Linked DNA regions of Saccharomyces cerevisiae S288C. The protein of the gene in region 3 interacts with the protein of the main gene of each other region in a biochemical or structural test. Each region holds a gene or a part of one and is shown on either strand. Other genes may lie near its edges. The genes, in order: PTP3, FAR1, FUS3 and PTP1.

What was found.
Region 1: of the proteins of FUS3 (region 3) and PTP3, one has a biochemical effect on the other in vitro, tested with the Saccharomyces cerevisiae proteins (2 studies listed by BioGRID, with this or other methods).
Region 2: of the proteins of FUS3 (region 3) and FAR1, one has a biochemical effect on the other in vitro, tested with the Saccharomyces cerevisiae proteins (4 studies listed by BioGRID, with this or other methods).
Region 4: the proteins of FUS3 (region 3) and PTP1 form a complex in vitro, tested with the Saccharomyces cerevisiae proteins (one study listed by BioGRID).

What each region holds. Positions count from the first base shown.
Region 1 is NC_001137.3:307,913-316,818, reverse strand, and holds PTP3 (tyrosine protein phosphatase PTP3), read left to right. Parts: upstream 1-5,619; coding exon 5,620-8,406; downstream 8,407-8,906. Other genes in the region: ICP55 (aminopeptidase), read left to right, coding at 1-12; MRX1 (Mrx1p), read left to right, coding at 219-2,285; YER076C (uncharacterized protein), read left to right, coding at 3,321-4,229; YOS1 (Yos1p), read right to left, coding at 8,696-8,751, 8,863-8,906. UniProt on the Saccharomyces cerevisiae protein: Major phosphatase responsible for tyrosine dephosphorylation of MAP kinases FUS3 and HOG1 to inactivate their activity; it also has important roles, along with MSG5, in the inactivation of FUS3 following pheromone stimulation.
Region 2 is NC_001142.9:122,420-127,919, reverse strand, and holds FAR1 (cyclin-dependent protein serine/threonine kinase inhibiting protein FAR1), read left to right. Parts: upstream 1-1,591; coding exon 1,592-4,084; downstream 4,085-5,500. Other genes in the region: SSY5 (Ssy5p), read left to right, coding at 1-1,067; CIS3 (Cis3p), read left to right, coding at 4,972-5,500. UniProt on the Saccharomyces cerevisiae protein: Inhibitor of the cyclin-dependent kinase CDC28. Necessary for cell cycle arrest. Involved in pheromone response. Contributes to mating efficiency. Required for oriented polarization of yeast cells in response to mating pheromones.
Region 3 is NC_001134.8:188,240-195,615, forward strand, and holds FUS3 (mitogen-activated serine/threonine-protein kinase FUS3), read left to right. Parts: upstream 1-4,211; coding exon 4,212-5,273; downstream 5,274-7,376. Other genes in the region: PEP1 (type I sorting receptor), read right to left, coding at 1-3,344; ACH1 (acetyl-CoA hydrolase), read left to right, coding at 5,883-7,376. UniProt on the Saccharomyces cerevisiae protein: Together with closely related KSS1, FUS3 is the final kinase in the signal transduction cascade regulating activation/repression of the mating and filamentation pathways, induced by pheromone and nitrogen/carbon limitation, respectively.
Region 4 is NC_001136.10:39,075-44,207, forward strand, and holds PTP1 (tyrosine protein phosphatase PTP1), read left to right. Parts: upstream 1-3,625; coding exon 3,626-4,633; downstream 4,634-5,133. Other genes in the region: BRE4 (Bre4p), read right to left, coding at 1-3,170; Hsp70 family ATPase SSB1, read left to right, coding at 4,991-5,133. UniProt on the Saccharomyces cerevisiae protein: Is not required for vegetative growth.

The DNA.
Region 1 (8,906 bases), on a different chromosome or scaffold from region 3:
GCACCACTGTAATGTTATTGCTAAATTGAGTACACCCTGTATATACAGATACATAACTTATCGATTTAAGGTCTTTTAATATTAAACGGAAAATTCAAAAAAAAAAAAATTTACTGAAAATATCTTGAGATACTTTTCTTCAGCTTTCTTTTTGTTTTTTTCCTCTTCTTCTTGGGCACTGCTCTTTAGTTTTTATTTTTAGTTACGGCAAAATAAAGATGGGTCTAAAAATTACAAAAGGACAGCTGAGAACCAAGGATCTGAATCAATCATCCTCAAAGTCATCGCAGTCTTCAAGAATAGGTGTAGACACTTGTATATTTACTAGAATGCTACCCCGAATAAACACTGCAATTAATCTCACAGAGCATCTGCTGAGAAGATCTTTTCATTCACTGACAAATCTACAGAAAACTCAAGTAAAAGAAAGACTACATGAGCTAGAACGTCACGGTTTCATATTAAATAAAACATCCAAACAATTGGAAAGGATAAATTCTAAGAAAAGAAGACAATTGAAAAAACTGCAAAAGACAGCATACCCCAAGGATCAAGCTTTTCATATTCTTCGAAAATTTCATAAAATAAATAATGAGGCATTAGCAGATACAAAACTGGGGCCAACTAGCCAAAGCGACTTGAAGTTCCTATCCTTAACCAAAGATAAGAGACTCTTTTATACCATACTAGGCGTCAATGGAGAACAGTTACGTGATTCCAAATTAATCGCCAATGATGTTCAAAAATTTTTGAAAAGAGGACAACTGGAAAAAGCTGTCTTTTTGGCTAGGCTAGCTAAAAAGAAAGGCGTCGTTGGGATGAATTTGATTATGAAATATTATATCGAAGTTGTGCAGTCCCAACAAAGTGCTGTAGATATCTTCAATTGGCGAAAAAAATGGGGAGTCCCTATTGATCAACATTCCATCACAATCCTCTTTAATGGGCTCTCAAAACAAGAAAATTTGGTCTCAAAAAAATACGGAGAACTTGTTTTGAAGACTATAGATAGTTTGTGTGACAAAAATGAGCTCACGGAAATAGAATATAATACCGCTTTGGCGGCACTGATAAATTGTACCGATGAAACACTAGTGTTCAAACTTCTTAATAAAAAGTGCCCAGGTTTGAAAAAGGATAGTATTACATATACCTTAATGATAAGATCTTGTACCAGGATTGCCGATGAGAAACGTTTTATGGTGGTACTCAATGATTTGATGAATAAAATACCAGACTATTGTGTCGATTCTAAATTGTTATTTGAGTACTGTGAAGTAATATGTAGCCAGAAGTCACCAAAGATTGAGAAGCAAGGAATGGGACTATGGGCCCTCTGTGAATATTTTCAATTTGATAAGACCATTTTCAAGAAGTATTTGACACAAAGCGATTTTCCTACGTTAGTTCCACTAAGTCATTGGAACATCAATAAGCCATTTCCTCTCAACAAACATGTTGTGGGATTGTTTATGAATTACTGTTTGAAAAACAAGGAATATGATCTTGCTATGGAAATATTTAAGACATTAGAGGCACAGAACAACCAAATGTTAGATCAGAGCATATACCACAAATACATGGAAACTGTCATAACAACGAGGCCCATCACTTGCGGCGACGAGTGTCTGGACATTTATGAACGGGTAGCCTCGTCGGCACAAATCTCAATAACCAGGAGGACGTTAATTTTGGTGTACAACGCATTCCAAAGACAAAGTCTCAAGGCCGTTATAAACAAAGATGCATCAAATGCTGAAGCTACTTTGCACAAGATTCGGGGGTTTATAGATAGCGTAGAGGCCACATACTCATCAAAGTTGAACGGCAAAGTTTACAGGTTTAATTCATGGAAGTTCCTGTTTCCTATCGTTAAAAATCTGAACATGAATGATAAAGTGTCTACAGTGGAACTGAAAAGTATACTAGATGAATACTTGAAATCTTTATTGAATGGTGAGTTCGGGAAGGAATTTAAAGCGAGCATAGAAGACAAGCGGTTTGTTACGTTGGAGGGAATTCGTTTAGTCAAGGTTTTAACCGAGAGAATCAAGCTTCCGTCACTGGACAGTGAGGAAATAGCCAGTTTAAAAGGCACGGAAAGAAAGAAGTTTCTTGCCAGAAGGCACCTTTTGAGGCTGAAGCAAATATTACTGGAAGATTTAGCGGACATTGAAGGCAACTCAAGAAGGAAGGGTGATAGCGAAAATACAAGTACCAGTGAAGAGCGCATCATGGAGGACTTGGCCGAGCTGATACTTGAAACCAGCTATGACAAGTTTTAAGTAAAAATTGATTATTTACTCCTTTCAATATGTACATAGTTTTGAGGTTTTTTCAAATTTTTTTCCTATTTTTTTTGTTAATTGAAAGTTACTGATGATAAATTATTCAAAGGTGGTGTTAATTAAGAATGAAAGTACATCTTCCTATACTATGAAGGAGAGGTTCATATAACACGCGCAATTGGCACGTCTTAAGTATCATCAGTACAATATAGTGGTATGTCAGGTAAATATAACATGTTCAGTGTAACAACTCATATTTTCCACGTATATATTGGATCTGTAACTCAATTGCGTCATTGTCTACATATTGCTTTTAACAGTTTCATTATTCTGTTACTGTTGCAATTATATATAAGCGTATAAGAGATGTGCCTAAGTATACGATGAGAACGCACATAATGTTATTATATCAACTCGCCTGTATATTTTTGTACTACTTGTTCCAACACGAAAATAAACCAAAGTAAGAAGGGTTAGCACCTTTTTTTGCAAGAGAAATCGCTCTTCAACTATTTTAAGTCAATCCTATGAAAAAGGGTTTGCGCCAGATTTCCAGGGACAAAAAAGAAAGTTTTATGTAAGACTAGATTGTGTTGATATCTCGAGCAAACTGTTAACCATTTTAAACCAATATAGTAATAAGTGTGAATAATCGTTCATCTCTAAACAATATGTAAATAATTCTAAAGAACAAAATATTTTGTCATTATCATCAACCTGTGAGCACTGAAAAAAAATTAATTCTAAAATGGTGCTCCATTTGCAAATATTCTTTCTATTTCCCTGACTCCCGCTAATCGGTTTTATTAGTGAAGAATACAGCCGTGGATTGAAAAACAAACTGGTTCAAGTCATTAACTGAAGTAATGCGACCACATCTTATACAAGAGGCAATGCTTTCTAACAGTTTTACATTATTCAAAATCTTCACATAGCCGTAACTTAACTTATATAATAACCGCATATTGGGCTCTTCTGAAAGAACTATTATAAGAAAGATACAAAAGCAAGCAATCAATCCAAGGGAGAAAAATGACCTCAGGATACTATACCGTCTCATTTTTTTATGCGATCTTATTGTTATGCGCATGCACACGTGCTGAGATCTACCTGACGGGCGGTGAAAGCCAGGGCTTGCCATCAGGATTCTGGCAAATGGACGATGATTTGGCAATCGCTCCAGTTTCTATGGTTGAATTTTACCAGACGATAGGATTAACTGCAAATGGTACTGTACCTGAGTCCTTCAACAAGCGTGATGCTACTGAATACCCTAACATTATCAGTAATATAACTACCCAAGCAGCCAACTTCACTCAGCATAGTCTCGTCGAGCAACTTCAAAATGACGTCACGGCAATAAGTATCAGTAATGCCATTAATGTAGCCGTCGATGGTTCTGTGGAAACACCAGCAGACCTGCAATACAACCGCAACCAGGAAACAGGTGAATCTACCCTCTGTAGAGCCAAGTTTTACGGAGTGGAGGTAAGAACTTGGTCTAGGTTGTACAATAGGGCCGTCTCTTCCACAACTCTTACGACTAATTTGAACAGCTACATAGCGCAATGGGTAGCATGGGCCGTTCACGGGAGCGGTGACAAGAAGTTTTGCGGCAGCCAGGAGTTCACGAATATCTTTTTTGATGGGCAAGAGGGTTGGAGTTTGTTTGTCAAGACGTGGTCAACAAACAGTAGCTGTGATATTACAGCCTCTGAAGGAAATTTAACATGTGCAGTTCGTGTTTCAGTATCCAGTATGCACAATCACGGCAAGACAGCGTTTTGTGTTACCTATAGCCACGGTGATTCTTGGCGTGCCGAGCTGAGAGTAGTTGCCAATGATGCTTGGTCCCATTATTATCCCTGGAGTATTGACTGTCCAGAAGTTGATAAAAATAATATGGCTATTAATGATTGTTTTGATCAGGCGCAAGGTTAACGATTGAGTTTCCCATAATTTTTACCGCTCTCCTCTTGGTTGAGACGTATGCGAAAAGCTAATTCGACGTTTTTTATTGTAAAATCGTACACTTTTGCAGGCAATTCTACATATTATATAAGATTTAAGTCGGATCTTGAGACTTTTGGTGAACTTTGAGATGATTGTTGGGATTCCGTTGTTGATAAAGGCAATAATATTATGTATACAGAATATACTAGAAGTTCTCCTCGAGGATATTAGAATCCTTACAATGGACTTGATATTTCTACATAAAAATATTACGATTATTCCTCATTCTGTTTTTTATGTTTCACCATCCAACAGATCTAAACTCATTTCTTCAGGTATTTATAACTTTGATTGGTTCATCTTAGGCATACTCAATCTTACCTTTTTCATGCGTGTAGGAACGAAACTCTAAAATCATCTACGGGTTAAAATTGCTTATACGGAGGTACCCCGTGTTGAGATCCAACACATACAGAAATTCTGGGCACATGGCGCAGTTGGTAGCGCGCTTCCCTTGCAAGGAAGAGGTCATCGGTTCGATTCCGGTTGCGTCCAATGAAATCTTTTTGTACCAAGTTTTTCTCTGTTTTTGTTAGACCGCAAGCGAGTTTACCGAATCACAGCCCACCTCACCCCACAGGAAAACAGCAGCAGAACGGCTGCTAAATGACTATTAACAATAAGAGGTTTTCGGCTACTTTCGCTGCTTGCTCGTTAAATCCGTTCACTGGTAGCGAACCTCAACGACAGATGTCTATGTATGCTATACGTAAAATCACCCCCATTATGGCCATTTTATGTGTCGCCACTGCTACACACCCACCGATGTGTATGTACTTCTAATATCTAACCAGACCAGACCCCACGCTTTTTCTGGCATCTCCTGCTGCCATCTTGGTGTAGTGAGCGGAAACTTTAAACATTAAACAGAATGGCGGCGACTTTGAGATTTGGGCCCGCTGACGCTGAACGAAAAGAAAAGACCTTCATGAAAAAAATATTTTGCGGCAAAACGTCATCGGAGAACACAGCGCAGCGAGAATGTGGTGTTAGCCAGACCCAACAGTTTGCGCACCTGGCATGGATGGATGCAGATAGGTAGTGTTCGATGCGCAAGAGTCCAATCTTCTCCTCGCCATTTGCACCGGCGGATGTAACACTATATTTTCATTGACCTTAGCGGTTTTCTTTCTTTGACATGTAACATCATCACTTCAAGCACAAACAAAGAACTGTATACACAGACCACAAACTTGCATATTATTCTAACATCGGTGTTATAATAGCGTAGGTGCTCTTATCACTGCAAAGTTCATAGAAAATCCGTATTGTATCTCCCTTCTCCATCAGCAACACAGATCTACTTATCATATAGAACATGAAGGACAGTGTAGACTGCCCAAGCATTCTACCCACCGACCGCACTTCAGTGCTTTCCGAGACTAGCACTTTGGTCGGATCGAGTTCGCATGTATATTCGAGGCATGCTCCTATGAACAGTTATCATAACAGCATGAACAGCAACATATACCACAGCCCCAAAGCCAGTAGCCCTTTGGTGAGCTATAAGACATCTTCGCCGGTGTTATTGAAGAGGGCGACCGCTCCTGTCCTGCCAAGCTTCAAGCCCAAGGAACAGCGATATAATAAGCCGCAGGGTTGTTCGCTAATTACTGCTGTAGAACTGGGCAAGATTATTGAAACCTTACCAGATGAAAAGGTGCTCTTACTTGATGTTAGGCCGTTTACCGAACATGCCAAATCCATTATCACAAACTCCATTCATGTATGTTTGCCTTCCACGCTGCTGAGGAGGAAAAATTTCACCTTTTCCAAACTCTTGGACAACTTAACTCCTAGCGAGCAAAGCGTGTTGAAATCTAAACTGGCCATCGATAACCTTCGGATTATCATTTATGATAGCACCGCAAATCAAACGGAAAGTTCTGTTTCTTTACCTTGTTATGGAATAGCGTCCAAGCTAATAGAGTTTGATACTAATGTTAAAAAAACCGTGTCTATACTAATGTGTGGTTTTCCTCAATTCAAAATTCTATTTCCAGACCATATAAACACCAACACATTTAACTCAGATTGCATTAGTTCGGCTGAACCTAAAAGCCCCAAGACAAACCTTATGAACAGTCTACACAACACAGCGCCGCATATGACGGCGACAACACCACTATCGTCTCCGCAAATGAACCTTAAGTTGAAAGTTCCTGACGATAGTAGGTCAGATCATTCAAACTTTTCCAGTTCTCCCTCTCCGCGTAACGTCCTATCAGATTCTCCCATGTCTTCTTCTTCCCCCATATCTGCCTTATTTAAGTTCCAGCTGCCTGCACCACAAACAAACATAAACCAAATGTTCAAATTTTCGCAAAATGAAGAAATAATGGGTTTAGAGACGTATTTGAGTGCAGTCAACATCAAAGAAGAACATGAAAGATGGTATAATAACGATTCTGCCAAAAAATCTTTACAAAACTTCCAATTCCCAAAGAACCAAAATTCTCTAGAAAAGGACACTAATAAAGACAAACTAGGGTTTCAGATCAGATACGAAAACCTGAGCAAAAATTACGAAAAGGAGGTCATTGACTCCGTTATACCTGAATGGTTCCAGCATCTGATGTCAATACCCAAGATCGAGTTGGTTTCTCAGTTTCAAAAATTAGATTTTTTGGAAAAAAGGCGCTTGAACCATTCTGTCTCTTTCAGGAAGAAGGAAAACTCGTTTATACTTGAAAAGCCATCATCATATCCTGAACAGTTAACATCAACTTCTTCTTCAACAATCATGCCTCCAAAATTTCCTGACGTGAACAAAGTACAAAAGAGGTCGCATTCTCAGCCAATCTTCACTCAATACAGTAAATATAAATCGATGCTCAGCCTTGAATCAGATTCCGATTCGGAGTCAGATGACGTTATAATATCATCAGGCGTTGAATTAGGAGCCAAGAACAGGTACAAGGATATTTTTCCCTACGAGCATTCGAGAGTGATTCTAAAAAAAGGTTTGCAATCATCAAAAGGTATCAAGCATTCACATTCTACTTCCGATGGTGGCATCCTCGACAATTATATCAACGCAAACTATTTGTCTCTGCCAAGGTTTTCTGTAGAGCAAAATTCGTCATTTCAAACAACTACAACCACAACAAGAAGAGTGCGCTATATAGCGACGCAAGCTCCAATGCCCTCCACTGTACATGACTTTTATACATGCATATTGAATAATGGCGTTCCGTTGGTTCTCTCATTGACAAATGATTTCGAAAATGGCATTGAGAAATGTTATCGATATTGGCAAGAAGGTAATTATAACGGTATTCACGTTAAATTGTTAGAAAAAAAAATATTAAAGATGCCTAGCACTACTAGCATGAGGAAAAATACTATGGGAACACAAAATAGTAGTTTATATTCAGCTGGTGTTCAGGGAAATAGTAGTAACTATAGTACTGATAATGATAATGATAATGACAACAATAATAATAACAATAACAATAGTAATATTGCTGTTACTGCTGCTGCTTGTGATGATGATGATGATGATGATGATGACGCAATTCTCATAAGAAAAATTCTGCTAACATATCATGATCAAGAGAAACCTTATGAATTGTTACAGATTCAGGTGAAAAATTGGCCTGATTTGGGCACTTTACTCAATCCTATCTCAATCTTACAAGCAATCAATGTCAAGAATCACATAATAGATACACTATTTGCCAGAAATTACTATCAAAACGACCAACTTCCTACCATTTTGGTTCATTGTTCCGCAGGTTGTGGAAGGACTGGTACTTTGTGTACCATTGATTCCATTCTATCCAATTTCGAAATGTTTGAAATGTTGCAGAAAGAGTTTGTTAAATTAAAATACCCGGCAAAGTTATTCGATCCAATTTCATGGACAATTAATATTTTTAGAAAGCAACGAATATCCATGGTCCAGAACATTAATCAATTTATTTTCATTTATGACTGCTTGCTATTTTACTTTAGATTACGTCTTGATGACATAACAGAGAGAACGGATGGTGATGGAAGTAACAAGGACAATATATCATTAAGTGCATTAATTGAACAAATCGAAAAATTAGAGATCTTGCAGACATTCGTGGATGATAAGTTGAAAGAATTGCCACAATAGTTAGGCTAATATGAATGTATTTGATCTCTATTTTATTAATACGAAACCCCTTAATAATTGATATTTTCGATACATATTTGGCAGTAGTTAGCTACGTAACAGAGTATTATTTTCATTTCAAGTTATGCATGAACTCTCTAATTTCACATACCATGCTACCACTACCCTTGGAGGTTTTGTTCATATCTTTTATAATAAAGCTAAAACCGAAAAGGTGAAGGGAAAAAAAAACTATTAGAGCCTGTTTCTTGTATATAGTAGTATGTAATATTTGCTTCGTACGCTTAGTTCATCCCAATAGTAATTCATAAACAATCACCAGTATATTTATTCCAATTAATGGTACTACAAGAATAATATACGAAACGTTAGTAAAATTTTCTCACAAAAGGTGAAAAAGAACGGGAAAAAACTGATGAAATGTAACTTTAACCGTTCTCCATCAACATAACATACTCCTCAGTAATGTCTGTACGGCGCCAATCAATTGAACAACCTTG
Region 2 (5,500 bases), on a different chromosome or scaffold from region 3:
TGTTTGGCTTACCCAACTTGCAACATGAACACTATGAAATGATAAAGGTTCTTTATTCGTTGTTCCCAGATGTACACATGTATTGTGTGAAAGATTACATTAAAAAAGCTGCATCAGCAGTAGGCAGTATTCCGTCTCATACCGCAGCAACTATCGATACAATAGCCCCAACTAAATTTCAGTTTTCCCCCCCATATGCAGTTTCAGAGAATCCACTTGAATTGCCAATTTCTATGTCTTTATCCACTGAGACAAGCGCTAAAATTACAGGTACTTTAGGGGGTTATCTATTCCCTCAGACTGGTAGTGATAAAAAATTTTCTCAATTTGCAAGCTGCTCATTTGCCATTACTTGCGCCCACGTTGTATTATCTGAGAAGCAAGATTATCCAAACGTCATGGTACCTTCTAATGTTTTACAGACTTCTTACAAGAAAGTTTTAACGAAAGAATCAGATAGGTATCCTGATGGTTCGGTGGAGAAAACAGCATTTTTGGAGGAAGTGCAAAGAATAGATCAAAACTTGAACTGGCAGAAATCAAACAAATTTGGTCAAGTAGTTTGGGGCGAGAGAGCAATCGTAGATCACAGATTATCAGATTTTGCTATTATCAAAGTTAATTCATCATTCAAATGTCAGAATACCCTAGGTAATGGCTTAAAATCATTCCCAGATCCAACATTAAGATTTCAAAATTTACATGTGAAACGAAAAATTTTTAAAATGAAGCCTGGGATGAAAGTATTTAAAATAGGGGCTTCTACGGGATACACTTCAGGCGAGTTAAATTCTACAAAATTAGTTTATTGGGCCGACGGAAAGTTACAAAGTAGCGAGTTTGTCGTTGCATCTCCAACTCCTTTATTTGCTAGTGCGGGGGATTCAGGCGCATGGATCTTGACCAAGTTAGAAGATCGTCTAGGTTTGGGGCTTGTTGGTATGTTGCATTCATACGATGGTGAACAGAGGCAGTTTGGTTTGTTCACACCTATAGGTGATATCCTGGAGAGACTACATGCTGTAACTAAAATTCAATGGGACATTGATCCACAACTAGATGGATGATTTGCCTTTTTGAAGTTATTTAACCCATTACAGGATGAAAAAAAAAAGACATTGCACTTGCATCACTGTAGGAGCGACTATAAAACTCACCTTCATTGTTGCTTTATTTTTCCAAGTAAGGAAAAATATCTGTTTACTTTCATTTACCTCTTTGGTTTTGTTAGGCGGGCAAGAGAGACCCGGTCGTTTCAGAATGCAACTTTCTTTTGTTTGCATATCTTTTTTTTTCAGCGATGCAATTTTCAACATGCAGCCATTTCACCGAAAATACCTAAAAAGGAAATAGGCAATAAAATGACATCGTAAAGGTTTCAAATGCGAAGGTACCTTGGTTCACAGTATATAATATATTCAAATTATTAAAAGAAAATAAAACTATCCTTTTTGTTCACTCTGTCTTGAGAGTGTATATTATCTTATCTATTCAAAAAATTTCTATTTACTTTTATATTTCTTGACCATCCTTTACACAAAGTCTATAGATCCACTGGAAAGCTTCGTGGGCGTAAGAAGGCAATCTATTAATGAAGACACCAACAAGAGTTTCGTTTGAAAAAAAAATACACACTCCACCAAGTGGAGATCGTGACGCTGAAAGATCACCACCGAAGAAATTTCTAAGAGGTTTATCGGGTAAAGTTTTTAGAAAGACACCAGAATTTAAGAAGCAACAGATGCCCACATTTGGGTATATTGAAGAGAGTCAATTTACTCCAAATCTTGGCCTAATGATGTCCAAAAGAGGCAATATTCCTAAACCACTGAATCTTTCCAAGCCTATATCTCCCCCACCAAGTTTGAAGAAAACAGCGGGATCAGTAGCATCTGGTTTTTCGAAAACAGGACAACTTAGCGCTTTACAATCGCCAGTAAATATCACAAGTAGCAACAAATACAACATCAAAGCTACAAATTTAACTACTAGTTTACTCCGAGAGTCGATTTCTGATTCTACAACTATGTGTGATACTTTGTCAGACATCAATTTAACGGTTATGGATGAAGATTATCGCATTGACGGCGATTCATATTACGAAGAAGATTCACCAACTTTCATGATCAGCCTGGAAAGAAACATAAAAAAATGCAATTCACAATTCAGTCCAAAAAGGTACATAGGTGAGAAATGTTTAATCTGTGAGGAAAGTATTAGTTCCACATTTACCGGTGAAAAGGTTGTGGAGTCTACGTGTTCACACACTAGCCACTATAACTGTTATTTGATGCTATTTGAAACTCTTTATTTCCAAGGCAAGTTTCCTGAGTGTAAGATATGTGGCGAAGTGAGCAAGCCAAAGGATAAAGACATTGTTCCTGAAATGGTATCCAAACTTCTAACGGGCGCAGGCGCTCATGATGATGGTCCGTCATCCAATATGCAACAGCAATGGATTGATTTGAAAACGGCGAGAAGCTTCACAGGTGAATTTCCTCAGTTTACACCACAGGAGCAGCTCATTCGTACTGCTGATATTTCATGTGATGGGTTCAGGACACCACGCTTATCGAATAGCAATCAATTTGAGGCCGTTAGCTATCTTGATAGCCCATTTTTAAATTCACCATTCGTTAATAAAATGGCAACTACAGACCCTTTTGATTTAAGTGATGATGAAAAACTGGACTGTGATGATGAAATAGACGAAAGTGCTGCTGAAGTGTGGTTTAGTAAAACGGGTGGTGAACATGTTATGGTCAGTGTGAAGTTTCAAGAAATGCGGACCAGTGATGATTTAGGGGTCTTGCAAGATGTGAATCATGTGGACCACGAAGAACTAGAGGAAAGGGAAAAGGAATGGAAAAAGAAAATTGATCAATATATCGAAACAAATGTGGATAAGGATAGCGAATTTGGCAGTTTGATCTTGTTTGACAAACTAATGTATTCTGATGATGGCGAACAATGGGTAGACAATAACCTTGTAATATTATTCTCCAAATTTCTAGTTTTGTTTGATTTTGAAGAAATGAAGATCCTGGGTAAGATTCCTAGAGACCAGTTTTACCAGGTAATCAAGTTCAATGAGGACGTACTACTTTGTAGTTTGAAGAGCACTAATATACCTGAAATATACTTGAGGTTCAACGAAAACTGCGAAAAGTGGTTGCTTCCCAAATGGAAGTATTGTCTAGAAAATTCTTCACTGGAGACACTACCATTAAGTGAGATTGTTTCTACAGTGAAGGAACTCTCTCATGTGAATATAATAGGCGCTTTAGGAGCGCCGCCTGATGTTATATCAGCACAATCCCATGATTCTCGTCTACCGTGGAAAAGATTGCACAGTGATACGCCGCTAAAACTTATTGTATGTTTGAATTTGTCGCATGCTGATGGGGAACTGTATCGCAAGAGAGTTCTAAAGAGTGTTCATCAAATATTGGATGGATTAAACACAGACGATTTACTGGGAATAGTTGTTGTTGGAAGAGATGGATCCGGTGTAGTAGGCCCATTTGGCACCTTCATCGGAATGATAAATAAAAATTGGGACGGATGGACAACTTTCTTGGATAATTTAGAAGTGGTTAATCCAAACGTCTTCCGCGATGAAAAGCAACAGTATAAGGTAACATTACAAACTTGTGAAAGATTAGCGTCAACAAGTGCATACGTGGATACAGATGACCATATTGCAACTGGATACGCCAAGCAAATCTTGGTCCTCAACGGGAGTGACGTTGTTGACATTGAGCATGATCAGAAATTAAAAAAGGCCTTTGACCAGTTATCTTACCATTGGAGATACGAAATTTCGCAACGCCGCATGACTCCATTGAACGCTAGCATTAAGCAGTTTTTAGAGGAGCTGCACACTAAGCGTTATCTAGATGTAACTCTTCGTCTACCACAAGCTACATTCGAGCAAGTATATTTGGGGGATATGGCTGCGGGTGAACAAAAAACGCGTCTAATTATGGATGAACACCCGCATTCTAGTTTGATAGAAATAGAATATTTTGACCTGGTAAAGCAGCAAAGAATTCATCAGACCCTGGAAGTTCCCAACCTCTAGTAGTTCGGGAATCGAGGCCCGTATTTCGAGGCTTTTGCTTTTCCTTTTTTTTTTTTCGTTTCTCCACGTCTATACTACGCAATGACTGAATATATATAATGCGTCGTAAATAGCAGTTAATGTATAAATAGAAATTGAGTAAACTTTAATTTTGCCTAAGAAAGAACCTATTGGCGATAATTAAATCTCGTCATATATGCACTATATATTTTTTTTCGTTTGGCGTTGTTTATCTATTTCCCGAACGGGATTATTTCCCTGAATTAGTTCATAATGAAAAAAACTCGCAGCCGGGTAACCCTCTTCGTACCAAAAATGCACGTGTCTGTACACAATTATACCAACATGGTTGTAGCATTTCAAGTTAGCTTGTTCGAGCTGTATAGTAAAAGAAACGTCGATGTGGCTAATTTGTTCCGGTGACTTTCAGGTCACGTGTTTTCCATGCGTGCGTTGCTTCTTCCTGCAAATCCACGGCTCGTAAAAGAGGACAATCAGCTTTTTTCCGTGGTGCCTGGCCGGGCCGCCTATGCATTCCATACGATTTCCACGGGCCAGATCCCGCCTAGCCCTTCCAGCTTTTCTTTTTCCCCTTTTGCTACGGTCGAGACACGGTCGCCCAAAAGAAACGGGTCAGCGTGTACTGCGCCAAAAAAATTCGCGCCGATTTAAGCTAAACGTCCACAAACAAAAACAAAAATAAGAAATAGGTTGACAGTGGGTGAAAAATTCTCGAAGGTTTCATCTCCAAACAGTCAGTATATAAGTATTCGGGAAAGAGAGCCAATCTATCTTGTGGTGGGTCTATCTTAACCTTCTCTTTTTGGCAGTAGTAATTGTAAATCAAGACACATAAAACTATTTCACTCGCTAAACTTACATCTAAAATGCAATTCAAAAACGTCGCCCTAGCTGCCTCCGTTGCTGCTCTATCCGCCACTGCTTCTGCTGAAGGTTACACTCCAGGTGAACCATGGTCCACCTTAACCCCAACCGGCTCCATCTCTTGTGGTGCTGCCGAATACACTACCACCTTTGGTATTGCTGTTCAAGCTATTACCTCTTCAAAAGCTAAGAGAGACGTTATCTCTCAAATTGGTGACGGTCAAGTCCAAGCCACTTCTGCTGCTACTGCTCAAGCCACCGATAGTCAAGCCCAAGCTACTACTACCGCTACCCCAACCAGCTCCGAAAAGATCTCTTCCTCTGCATCTAAAACATCTACTAATGCCACATCATCTTCTTGTGCCACTCCATCTTTGAAAGATAGCTCATGTAAGAATTCTGGTACCTTAGAATTGACCTTGAAGGACGGTGTTTTGACTGATGCCAAGGGTAGAATTGGTTCTATTGTTGCTAACAGACAATTCCAATTTGACGGTCCACCACCACAAGCCGGCGCCATCTACGCTGCCG
Region 3 (7,376 bases):
TATGTATCTCTAATATCCTTACGTTCAGTATAGCCATGTAAGTGCAATGAACACTCATCCAGTGATTTGGAGCTGCAAGAAAACTTTTTTCCTTCTGAATCCCTCTTCGGAGGTTTCAAAAAGTTCCAATCTGAACCTTCATTAAAGGTGATCTTCGTCTTCAATTGTTTGTCTTCTTTATTCTCGGCGACCTTGTCACTATTTGAAACGATGTTGGTGAGAATAATGCCTTCGAGACCTTGAATTTTTTCAAAGTCAACATAGCCGAATGTGTTTCTATTAACGGCATGCTCCAACGTGACAAAAGAAGTACCATTTGAGTTGGATTTCAAAAGATTGCCAAAATCGCGTCCTGGTACTAAGTTTGTTGCTAAATGTAAGAATATCGATCCTTTCTCAGACTCTAATATAGTGAATGCCTCTTGCTTCCCAACATCTTCATCATATGGGAATTTTGCCTCGGCAAACTCAGTACCATCGATAGTTACGTATGCTCTCAATTCGTTGTTCTCATGAGGAACAGCAACGATGATATAGCCACCAGTGGATAAGTAGCCGATAATATTTTCAAAGACGGTATTTTTATCATCCTGGAAAAAATCAGTAGAAGAAACTAAGCTTCTTGTCTGCGAAGACTTTTCCTTCACTTGACACATAACCATATCCTCATTTGACGGATATTTGAAAAGTGAGCCCGCAAACTCACAATGAATTGCATTATCAAGCATTTCCGTAAACGTTTCGCCCCCATCATTGGTCAGGTATGCTACCGCATGACATTCCGGACTTAAGATTGACTCACAATTCTTACCACCATAATAGATAAATGTATCCTGTGCCTTAGCGTTAAAGTCTAATGGCATACCTAACTGCCTAGCCTCGGGCAATTTAGCAGTCATAAAAGAGTATCCCCTATCATGGGTAGAGAAAATGCTACCTTTGGAACCAAACAGATAAGCTGAAGAATTGTAGTATGGATTAAACACAACTTCAATAATTGTTTCACCATTACTGTCGAACCTTTTTATTGTTTGTCCACCATCATGAGATATATAAGCTTCTCCTCTTGAATTGATCATGAGGAGGGATTCGTCGGTGACTGTGTCAAAGTATTGATAGAATTGAATCTTGAAATCAAATTTGTTTTCTGTAACCACTATTTCTTTATCATTCGTTCCCTTCTTTGGAACTCCCTCACACGAAATATCCACTGATTTGACTGTCATTGGTTTTTTACATTTATCACCTTTAACTAGTTGCAATGGTTTTACAGGCACAGTTTTTTTCTTTGTCTTATCACATACGTCAGAGAGAACGATTAGGTTGTAGTCTGGTACGCATTTCCCGGTCGCGTCCCTAACAAATTCAAACGCGCATTCGTAATCAGCCTCGGTACACTTGTCACAAGCAGTCTCAAATAATTGTAAGTCTTCAAAAACTTTCTTCACCAAGCACTGAGCGTCCTGTTTTCTTCTTCTGATCTTGTACTTGACTCCATTGACACACTTCCCCTCAGCTAAATTCCAATCCTCGAAATCATTTTCTTCGCATGTCTTATCATTAAAGGCTGTTGAAAAATCAATTGCATAGATGAAATTCGTTGTACCATCCATATGCGCCAAAGTAAACCCATTTAGAATAAATTTAGCTCCAGATCCGTCGGGCGTTGTATTCATTACTTCATTTGGGTAGATAGTAGTTTCTAGCTGATATTCGGTCCAAGTTTTACCTTGGTCTAAAGAGTAATAAAATTCGGATTGAGGATCGTCGTCTTCATCCGCATTATACGGTATAGCCACAATAACATTTCCGTAATCACCAACAGCGTATAAACAAGGAAAATCAAAGGCGAGTTTCCATGTTAAGCCACCATCCCTAGAAATAAAGGTTCTTTGATCTCCCCAGTCGAAGACACTACCATCGCCAACAATACCTGTTGTCATTAGAATTCCGGCGGTTGGAGTGGAACCCTCCCGTGTGTAAAACATATTTTGAAGCGAACAATTCTCAAAATCAGTAATATCACAGTCGAATGAGTCTGCGTTATCTGGATCAACAACTTTTAACATTGTCCATGTGAGGCCATTATCAACAGATATTTTGGTTACCCCCTTACTCTTTACTCCTTTGGCTTTTCCTTTACGGTTACGACGCCTAGATAGAGGGTAAAGTGAGGCAATCATCGTTCCTTTCAAGTAAGTAGGTTGATAAAAATTAATATAACCAAACACCTCATTTGCGGTCCATGGGATGGGGGAAAATTTTAACCCTTGTGAGTCGGAAATTAAAATTTCAGACACGATGCCCTTATCCTCCTCTTGATCACTTCTTTCCCTACTCATGGGCAAGATAATTCTTCCCATAGCGTCCTCATATATTTCTCCTTGCATAGAATGCCTTAACTGAGTAGGCATGTAAGCCATTTTAAAGTTTGACAGATCATTTGATACCCACACATCCATGGAAGACATATCATTATATCTGTCGCCCTGGGTTAAGACAACCATGTGAGATTTCAATATCCTGTAACCATTGACGACCTTATCTTTAAATTGGTCAAATTCTTTTAGTGATTTGCCCCAGTCCGTAGTTAGGACCAATTTACTTTCGGTGTAAGGAGAACTAAACTCATCCATAATAAGCTGCATATTTTGAAAAAGACAGATTATTGAGGTATCACTACTTTCAAGGTCAGAATCTTTGCTGGTCTTGGCAAAGCCACAATCAGAAATGCTGATAGGACTATTTTCGTTCCTTTCTAGAGAAGACTTGATCTCAGAAAAGGATTTTCCACCATCATTACTTGCAAAAACCTTGTCTGTGCAACGTGTAATATTAAATATTTCAAATTGTCCCTCTTCGTCCCCCGAATTCTCTTCATTGTCATTGTTTACTTCTGTTTTCTCACAATAGTTGCACTTTGCAAGAAAATAGTTCTTATTCAAGGGATGGGTTTCTATATAGCATTCACGAGGTGAAATACTTTCTCCGGAGTCAGGTAGCGTTATACGCTCCCATGACTTACCTTGATCATTGGTTATATAAAGGTACGACCCATTCATTGCCGTTGCAACGGCTCTGTCATGTCTATTGAAGGGGTCGATGTATATCCAAGTGATTTCGCCTTCAATGCCTTCAACTTTTTCCCATGTTTCACCATCGTCAAAGCTTATAGTAACGGAGGTGTCTTGTTTTCTAATTAAAGTGTTGGAATCATCAAAGCTTAATATATCAAATGAATCTTGCGCGATAGTCTTTGTCACTTTGGGGGTGAATTCTTCGGCATTAGTTAAAGGAATGAGAAGTAAGGCCCAAAGAGAATAGACAAAATGAAGTAATATCATAACGTGTGATGACTACTGGACACTTCAGGGCTTTTCCAGATATACAGAGCTTTATAATACAATCTAAGGGCAAAATAAAAAAGGAAAAAGAGTACGGTAGTTGAGAAAAAAACCGGAAAGGAATTGCTTTAAAGATCTTAGTAGAATGAAATAGTACCACCTACTCGCCTCCTTTTTTTGTGCTTCTTGAGAGGTCTTTTGAGCTGTTGCATCATGCTGTTATTTAGAGGTTATTTTTTGACCTTGGTTTTTCCTTCTTTTCGCCGTACTCAGCCCGAGAAAAAAGCAGCGACTGCACTAAACTAGAGGAAAGAAGGCTTAAAACATCACGCGATCCATATAAAGACCCGAGTAGTTGGAGAGATTGACTACTTGACGTTCAAAAGAACATACATAAGGATAAATTCGTTCGGACTTTTTAACTTACACACATCTTTTGGTGTTCATTCAAGGGGCGGTAGTGCTTGTAGTCCGCACAGGCGGATACTTTTTAGTTTGGGAAGAGTTAACTGGAGAGGGCAGTTTACTTTCACATACTCTTTTATCTTTCTGAAGTAAAATGTGATGTACCTACAAGCAATGCATAAGCTCTTGAGTTTTAGATCTGTTTCACCCTGGAACTCAAAATTCTTTTACTCGAAATTTTTACTTTTTTTTTTTTTGTTTCTGCATTCTCTCAGATTTTAGATGATGCGGTTTTTTACAGGGCATTGAAACAATTGCAGAAAAGCAACATACTAATATATCATAACTTTTTACTCTTGCCTCTCAGAAACTATATATACGTTGTAATCATTTTCTTTCTTCTAATAGCTAGTTCGTTTGAACTACAAGGAAATAAGGCAGAGAAAAAGAAAGGAAAATAATATGCCAAAGAGAATTGTATACAATATATCCAGTGACTTCCAGTTGAAGTCGTTACTGGGAGAGGGTGCATACGGTGTGGTATGTTCTGCAACGCATAAGCCCACGGGAGAAATCGTGGCAATAAAAAAGATCGAACCATTCGATAAGCCTTTGTTCGCATTACGTACGCTGCGTGAAATAAAGATCCTGAAGCACTTCAAGCACGAAAATATCATAACAATCTTCAACATTCAACGCCCTGACTCGTTCGAAAACTTCAATGAGGTCTACATAATTCAAGAGCTAATGCAGACAGATTTACACCGTGTAATCTCCACCCAGATGCTGAGTGACGATCATATACAATATTTTATATACCAAACCTTGAGAGCAGTGAAAGTGCTGCATGGTTCGAACGTCATCCATCGTGATTTAAAGCCCTCCAACCTTCTCATAAACTCCAACTGTGACTTGAAAGTATGTGATTTCGGTTTAGCAAGAATCATTGACGAGTCAGCCGCGGACAATTCAGAGCCCACAGGTCAGCAAAGCGGCATGACCGAGTATGTGGCCACACGTTGGTACAGGGCGCCAGAGGTGATGTTAACCTCTGCCAAATACTCAAGGGCCATGGACGTGTGGTCCTGCGGATGTATTCTCGCTGAACTTTTCTTAAGACGGCCAATCTTCCCTGGCAGAGATTATCGCCATCAACTACTACTGATATTCGGTATCATCGGTACACCTCACTCAGATAATGATTTGCGGTGTATAGAGTCACCCAGGGCTAGAGAGTACATAAAGTCGCTTCCCATGTACCCTGCCGCGCCACTGGAGAAGATGTTCCCTCGAGTCAACCCGAAAGGCATAGATCTTTTACAGCGTATGCTTGTTTTTGACCCTGCGAAGAGGATTACTGCTAAGGAGGCACTGGAGCATCCGTATTTGCAAACATACCACGATCCAAACGACGAACCTGAAGGCGAACCCATCCCACCCAGCTTCTTCGAGTTTGATCACTACAAGGAGGCACTAACGACGAAAGACCTCAAGAAACTCATTTGGAACGAAATATTTAGTTAGCCATCATTATCATTAAAATATCAACCCGAAGAACAATGTATACATATACATATACGTACACATATACATATGTACATATGACATACGTATTAGCCGCTGAGGACGCGGACGTATAAAAGGACAATACTTATATGGAGCTAAGGGGAGCAGTTACGCAACTCCGTGATCGCGCGCCACGGGCCGTCGGCGGCTGTTAATTGAAGAAAAAAAAAATGAAGAACCACAAGGGGTGATCCATATAGGTGACTAGCATCATCCCCTGCGACGCGCGGCCCGCCGGGCCAAAGGCGGGCAATGCGCGCTGCTGATTGGCCTCGAGGACAACGCCCTCAACCACATCCGCAACAGCCAATCCCATCGGAGCGTCAAACTACCAAAGTAGTGATTGTATGGATGACCACTGTATTGTGGACGGTAAGCGCTTGCTGGAGCAAATGTGTAATCAAGTTGCTGTGTATATATAGACGTTAGATGTGTTCTACCCCTTCTTTTGTCTTGTGCCCACCGGGCTTACATTAGCACACAAAGCAGCAAGAGACCGTCTTACTAGACAATAGCGGCAAAACAAACAACACATTTCTTTTTTTCTTTTTCACATATTGCACTAAAATGACAATTTCTAATTTGTTAAAGCAGAGAGTTAGGTATGCTCCCTATCTGAAAAAAGTTAAGGAAGCTCACGAGCTTATTCCATTGTTCAAGAATGGTCAGTACCTTGGGTGGTCCGGTTTTACAGGAGTGGGTACTCCCAAGGCAGTGCCGGAGGCACTGATAGATCACGTGGAGAAGAACAATTTACAAGGGAAGTTGAGATTCAACCTTTTTGTTGGAGCTTCTGCTGGTCCAGAGGAAAACCGTTGGGCTGAACACGACATGATCATTAAGAGAGCCCCTCATCAAGTAGGGAAACCCATTGCAAAGGCAATTAACCAGGGTAGAATTGAGTTCTTTGATAAACATCTGTCCATGTTCCCTCAGGATCTGACATACGGGTTCTACACCAGGGAAAGAAAAGACAACAAAATCCTTGATTATACTATAATCGAGGCAACGGCCATTAAAGAGGACGGGTCTATCGTCCCAGGTCCCTCTGTCGGTGGTTCTCCAGAATTCATTACAGTCAGTGATAAAGTGATTATTGAGGTTAACACGGCTACGCCTTCGTTCGAGGGTATTCACGATATAGACATGCCCGTGAACCCACCTTTCAGGAAACCATACCCATATCTGAAAGTGGACGACAAGTGTGGTGTTGACTCCATCCCGGTTGATCCTGAAAAGGTTGTTGCGATTGTGGAGTCCACCATGAGGGACCAGGTCCCACCAAATACGCCCTCTGACGACATGTCCAGGGCTATTGCAGGTCATTTGGTCGAGTTTTTCAGAAACGAGGTAAAACATGGTAGGCTACCTGAAAACCTGCTGCCTTTACAAAGTGGTATAGGTAACATTGCTAACGCTGTCATTGAAGGGCTTGCTGGCGCCCAATTCAAGCACTTGACTGTATGGACGGAAGTGCTGCAGGACTCGTTCTTGGATCTTTTCGAGAACGGATCTTTGGACTACGCCACTGCTACTTCCGTGAGATTGACTGAAAAGGGTTTCGACAGAGCCTTTGCAAACTGGGAAAATTTCAAACACAGATTGTGTTTGAGATCTCAAGTTGTCTCGAACAATCCGGAAATGATCCGTAGATTGGGTGTCATCGCCATGAATACCCCAGTAGAAGTTGACATTTACGCGCACGCCAATTCTACAAATGTGAATGGTTCCCGTATGTTGAACGGGTTGGGTGGATCTGCTGATTTCTTGAGAAATGCAAAGTTGTCCATCATGCATGCCCCCTCTGCAAGACCAACTAAAGTAGACCCTACCGGTATCTCTACCATTGTTCCTATGGCCTCTCATGTAGATCAAACTGAGCATGACCTGGACATCTTGGTCACTGACCAAGGTTTGGCGGATCTAAGAGGTCTATCGCCTAAGGAAAGAGCCCGTGAAATCATCAACAAGTGTGCTCATCCCGATTATCAAGCTTTGTTGACCGATTACTTGGACAGAGCAGAGCATTACGCTAAAAAGCACAATTGCTTGCATGAACCA
Region 4 (5,133 bases), on a different chromosome or scaffold from region 3:
TTGAATAGGTTCTTCTCCATAGAATTGCCTCCTGAATTTAAATTCGAATGTGATTGGTCCTTCATTTCACTAAATTTCTTGATGAAGTGGTAAAGTTTTTTACGTGACATAATTGGATTTGGCAAGTATCGCGGTATCTTGTTTTTTGATCTGAAACAATTGGATAAAATGTAAAAAACGAAAATCACTGATGAGACACTATCTCTTCGTAGCGATAGTAAGGCTCTCGTGGTTTCAATATCAAAATCCTGATCCCAAATTTCAAAAAATGCACCTGAAATTCTCGCTTCAATGATCTTAGATAACAAAAATTGGCATGAATTGATTAGACTTGCGTACTTCTCAGGATTGAAGTTGGAAATAATGATTGGCTCATGACGGGCTTTCTTCAAAAGTTCCCTGATTGCTTCAAGACTTTGAGTCAGTCTAACTTCACGAATGTGGGAAAATGCGAAAGTTAAATCAGTAGGTGCGTCGTCGGCATCCCTGTATAAATACCGGTCCGCCACGGTTTGGTAGGACTGGCCCAAGTGTGCCAGTAATGATGACATACTATCTCTTAGTTCTGTCCTAGCTCTAAAGGGCCACACTATCCAGTTGATGGGAATCGAAACCAAAATACCGATAATAAGTGCCAAGCCTGTAACCCACGTAGATTTCCATATTCCAGCGGTGGTTAAGTTATAATGTCTATTAGGTTTGCTGTATGGTTCAAGAGCAATTATGGTAAAGCACATTAATGCAGTGAAGCTCGATTTGGTGTTTCTATAGACAAGAAAGTTGATGCTAAATGGGACCACGATCAGACCAGCAAACGTGCAAACCACGTATGGACTACCAAAATGTCTCGATTGGTTGGCAGCCCACCCCCAAAAGATACCTACTATACCACAGATTAATCTCCTCATTACCAACGCCCAGTTACCAGAGTATCTTCTATGTGCTAATAAGTAAAACGTGAGTGGGGCCCACCAACAATGAAATTCTTGGTACCAGTGATAGGATTCAGGTAGCCAAGTTGGTAGACACAAAAATATCATACAAAAAGTAATCTTTAGTGTCCACTTACATTCATCACCAGATAAAATTCTACTCAATTTCCATAGTTTAAATCTCCAAGGATTTTGAGTTGTATGAAAATTGAAGTCGTTGTGATCAATTGCTCTGATGGAAATAGTGTGGTTTTTGCGATTCTGTGACTTTTCGTCACCACCTTGTGAATCAAGTCTCAGCGCTTCTTCTTCGCCTTTGTTATACTTGTGTCTTGACGTGTAGGTGTTATAAACTCTTTCAAAAATTTCATCGACATCACGTTTGGCCTCAAAATAATGAAGAACATTTCCTGCACCTTCATCGAGAACACATTGTTTGGGCAATCTTGTCAACGCACGAGACAGTGGATATGATGGCAGAGCAATTCTCCAGTGAATATTCTCACCCAAAACTTGGCAATCGTGGATAACAGTAACTAGCTGCCTTGCGGAGTTTCTCAAATATCTTAGAAAAAGGAAAATATCGACAGACTCTTCGTCATTCAACAGTTCCTGTGAAAAAAAACTAGAATTCACAAAATCCCTGTAACAAACATCTAGTTTGTAAATTTTCCTCTTTAATTTAGAATGCGAGTGACTTAATATTTTGACACACTCATCTAAGTTGTTTTTTTGATTTGGAGACTCGTATTTCTTTAGTACTCTTGATAGATTTTCCAAAACGAAGATCATTTCCAGTATTAAGTTGAAGATGCTTTTCGAGAAGGACGCCTTTAATGCATTAATGTAGATTTCATTTTTTAAAAGCCCCGGACCGATAGGCTTAAAGGCACTGGGCGTGTTTTCTCTTGTTGGAATTCCTGAAGATTGAGGGCTAGCGCTTGCTTCTTTGCTCAGGGTCGCAGAATCCGATCTATACTTCTCCAATTCTTCATACATCTTTTTCAATTCATCATCATTAAAAATTTTGGGTGCAATGGGTAATACTCTCAGAGAAGTTTCCATGGCAGTTAAAGAATTTCTTAAACTCTTCAACGATTGAAGGTCAAACCTGGAAATTGTCAACTGATTTACAAAATCTCTAAAACCTTGAGATAAATCAATGTTTAGTGTTTTCACCATTTTTACTTGGGCTAGGTAAATTTGTTCTTTGGACTTTATTAATTCAGTATCTACTAGTGCCATTAAAAAGGTCTTTGTGGTCTGTAGACACTTGTTATAATGTTCCATTAACTCTGCATTGCCACTATGTGGTGATACACATACACAAACCAAGAGAGATAGCAAAAGGCCGAAGAGATATGAGATTCCAAAATCCCAAAAAATTTGCCACTTCAAATCAAACTTGGATGAGGCCAACCGAACTGTATGAGTGAATATAATCGATATCGAAAACGAAGTTGTGAAATAGAAGAACCGACGGTAAACAGACCTTAGCCAGATGGCAAATAAGAGGGCCATAGTCAGACTCTGAAATAAAATTCCTCCCTGGTAGTTTGCGGTCGGCTTTGTCGCTGTGGAAATGTACCATGCCAAAGCCGACCATCCCAGGCCAAAACTTGCGCCGATAATGGAGCTTATAGTCATTTCCAGTTGAACACCAATATTTCTGACCGGATGATGTATAAGTACTGCGATGGGTAGAAAATACCTGAACTCATGGCCAATCCACCTACCAGAAGGCCTGATAACGCAAATCACGATAGCAATGAAATAAGCAATAAAAAACTTGAATATGGATACCCCATTTTTTCTAATATCTCTAGGGAAATGAATAATGGGCCTGTAGATAGCAGTCCAAACATATTCGGAAAGCTTGGTAAAACCAGATTGCAGTTTTTTCCTTGCAGCGCCATTGTCGTCATCGATGTCGCTGTTAGGAGACCTAGCTTTGCTGTCCGGCTTGGTAAAAGCAGCATCAAAAAACCCATCTCTCAGCTCTTCCAGCCCAAAGTCCTCTACTTCCTCCCAGTGTTTGTCCTTAACCAAATTTTCCAGCCGCATTTGCGATAAGGATGCCACGGATTGTTGTGGGCTTCCTGCAAAGCTAAGCCCGCTTATACCGGCAGGATTCTTATAGTTAAGTTCATGTAGTGACCTGAGTGATGTTTGAGAGTATGAACCTTTCACAATATCAGGATCAGGAGTGGGACTTCGATCTCGCTCATATCTTTTCATGAGGACCTGTTACAATTCCAGCACTATACTGTACATGCTTTCCTTAGTGGAGCACAAAGCAAGTTAAAAATGAACTTTAAATTGATTAAAGTGTTAGTGACGCTTAAACTCGTTTTCCTGCGCGTATTTCACGCAATCTATACATAATCATCTTTGATAATGTTATATCGCCTTTCATTTCCAGATTTTGTTCACTGAAAAGTCTTATCGGAAACCTAACTTTGGGCGACAGGGTTATTGTTTATAATTTGTAGGTGTTCCATTTTTTTCTTTGTACTTTTTTAGGTTAACGTAATATTTAATTAGGTCATTTTTAGGGCGTTTAGTATTAGAAAAATTCATTTGTACACACTATTAAGAGGAAGGCAAACTATATTTACATTTTATTGAGGAAAAGGGTTCATCGAGGAGTTATCAAGAAAAGCGTTTGTTAGTAGTAGTTTGCGACAGTGGAGATGGCAGCTGCACCATGGTATATTAGACAGCGTGACACGGATTTATTGGGTAAATTCAAGTTCATACAGAATCAAGAAGACGGCAGATTAAGGGAAGCTACAAACGGAACGGTGAATTCACGATGGTCGTTGGGGGTCAGCATAGAACCTCGTAACGATGCTAGAAACAGATACGTTAACATTATGCCGTATGAGAGGAACCGCGTTCATTTGAAGACTCTATCCGGGAATGATTACATTAATGCCTCGTATGTCAAAGTGAACGTGCCAGGGCAGAGCATCGAACCGGGCTACTATATTGCTACTCAAGGTCCCACGCGTAAAACTTGGGATCAGTTTTGGCAAATGTGCTATCACAATTGTCCTTTAGACAATATTGTCATTGTGATGGTCACGCCTCTGGTAGAATACAATAGGGAGAAGTGCTACCAGTACTGGCCTCGCGGTGGTGTAGACGATACGGTTAGAATAGCATCAAAATGGGAAAGTCCGGGCGGCGCCAATGATATGACTCAATTTCCCTCTGATTTGAAAATAGAGTTTGTTAACGTACATAAGGTGAAGGACTATTATACGGTCACCGATATCAAACTCACACCCACGGACCCTCTTGTAGGACCTGTCAAAACTGTTCACCACTTTTACTTCGACCTTTGGAAAGATATGAACAAGCCAGAGGAAGTAGTACCCATAATGGAATTATGCGCTCACTCCCACAGCTTGAATTCCCGCGGGAACCCCATTATCGTACACTGTTCCGCAGGCGTGGGCAGAACGGGGACGTTCATTGCCCTAGATCATCTCATGCATGATACCTTGGATTTTAAAAATATTACAGAACGGTCAAGGCATTCAGACAGGGCTACAGAGGAGTACACACGGGACTTGATCGAACAGATCGTGTTACAGTTGCGCTCGCAAAGAATGAAAATGGTTCAGACAAAGGATCAGTTCCTATTTATCTACCATGCTGCCAAGTATCTTAACAGTCTTTCCGTGAACCAATAGACAGCTATATAAAAGTTCCTAATTGTGCATTTTTTCAATAACAATACTTATTCATCCTTATAATTATATTCTAGCTTCGTTGTCATGGGAACATAGCCCATACACCGCAGTTATTTATGATCATTTCGAACGGGAAGTATGGATGAATCTTTTTTTTTTTTTTTTTATAGCACGCAACTGAAAAAAAAAAAAAGAAAAATTTTTCATCTTCGCTCGACGTTTCTTTTGTAGTACTCATCTCTTTTTATATAAAGATTAATTAGTTATTGTCGCTTTGCTTTTCCTTCTTTAAAAAATGTTTCTTGCTTTTGGATTTTCAGATGTCCCAAGATCATTACAGTATTTTAATTGAACAAAATGGCTGAAGGTGTTTTCCAAGGTGCTATCGGTATCGATTTAGGTACAACCTACTCTTGTGTTGCTACTTACGAATCCTCCGTTGAAATTATTGCCAACGAACAAGGTAACAGAGTCACCCCATCTTTCGTTGCTTTCACTCC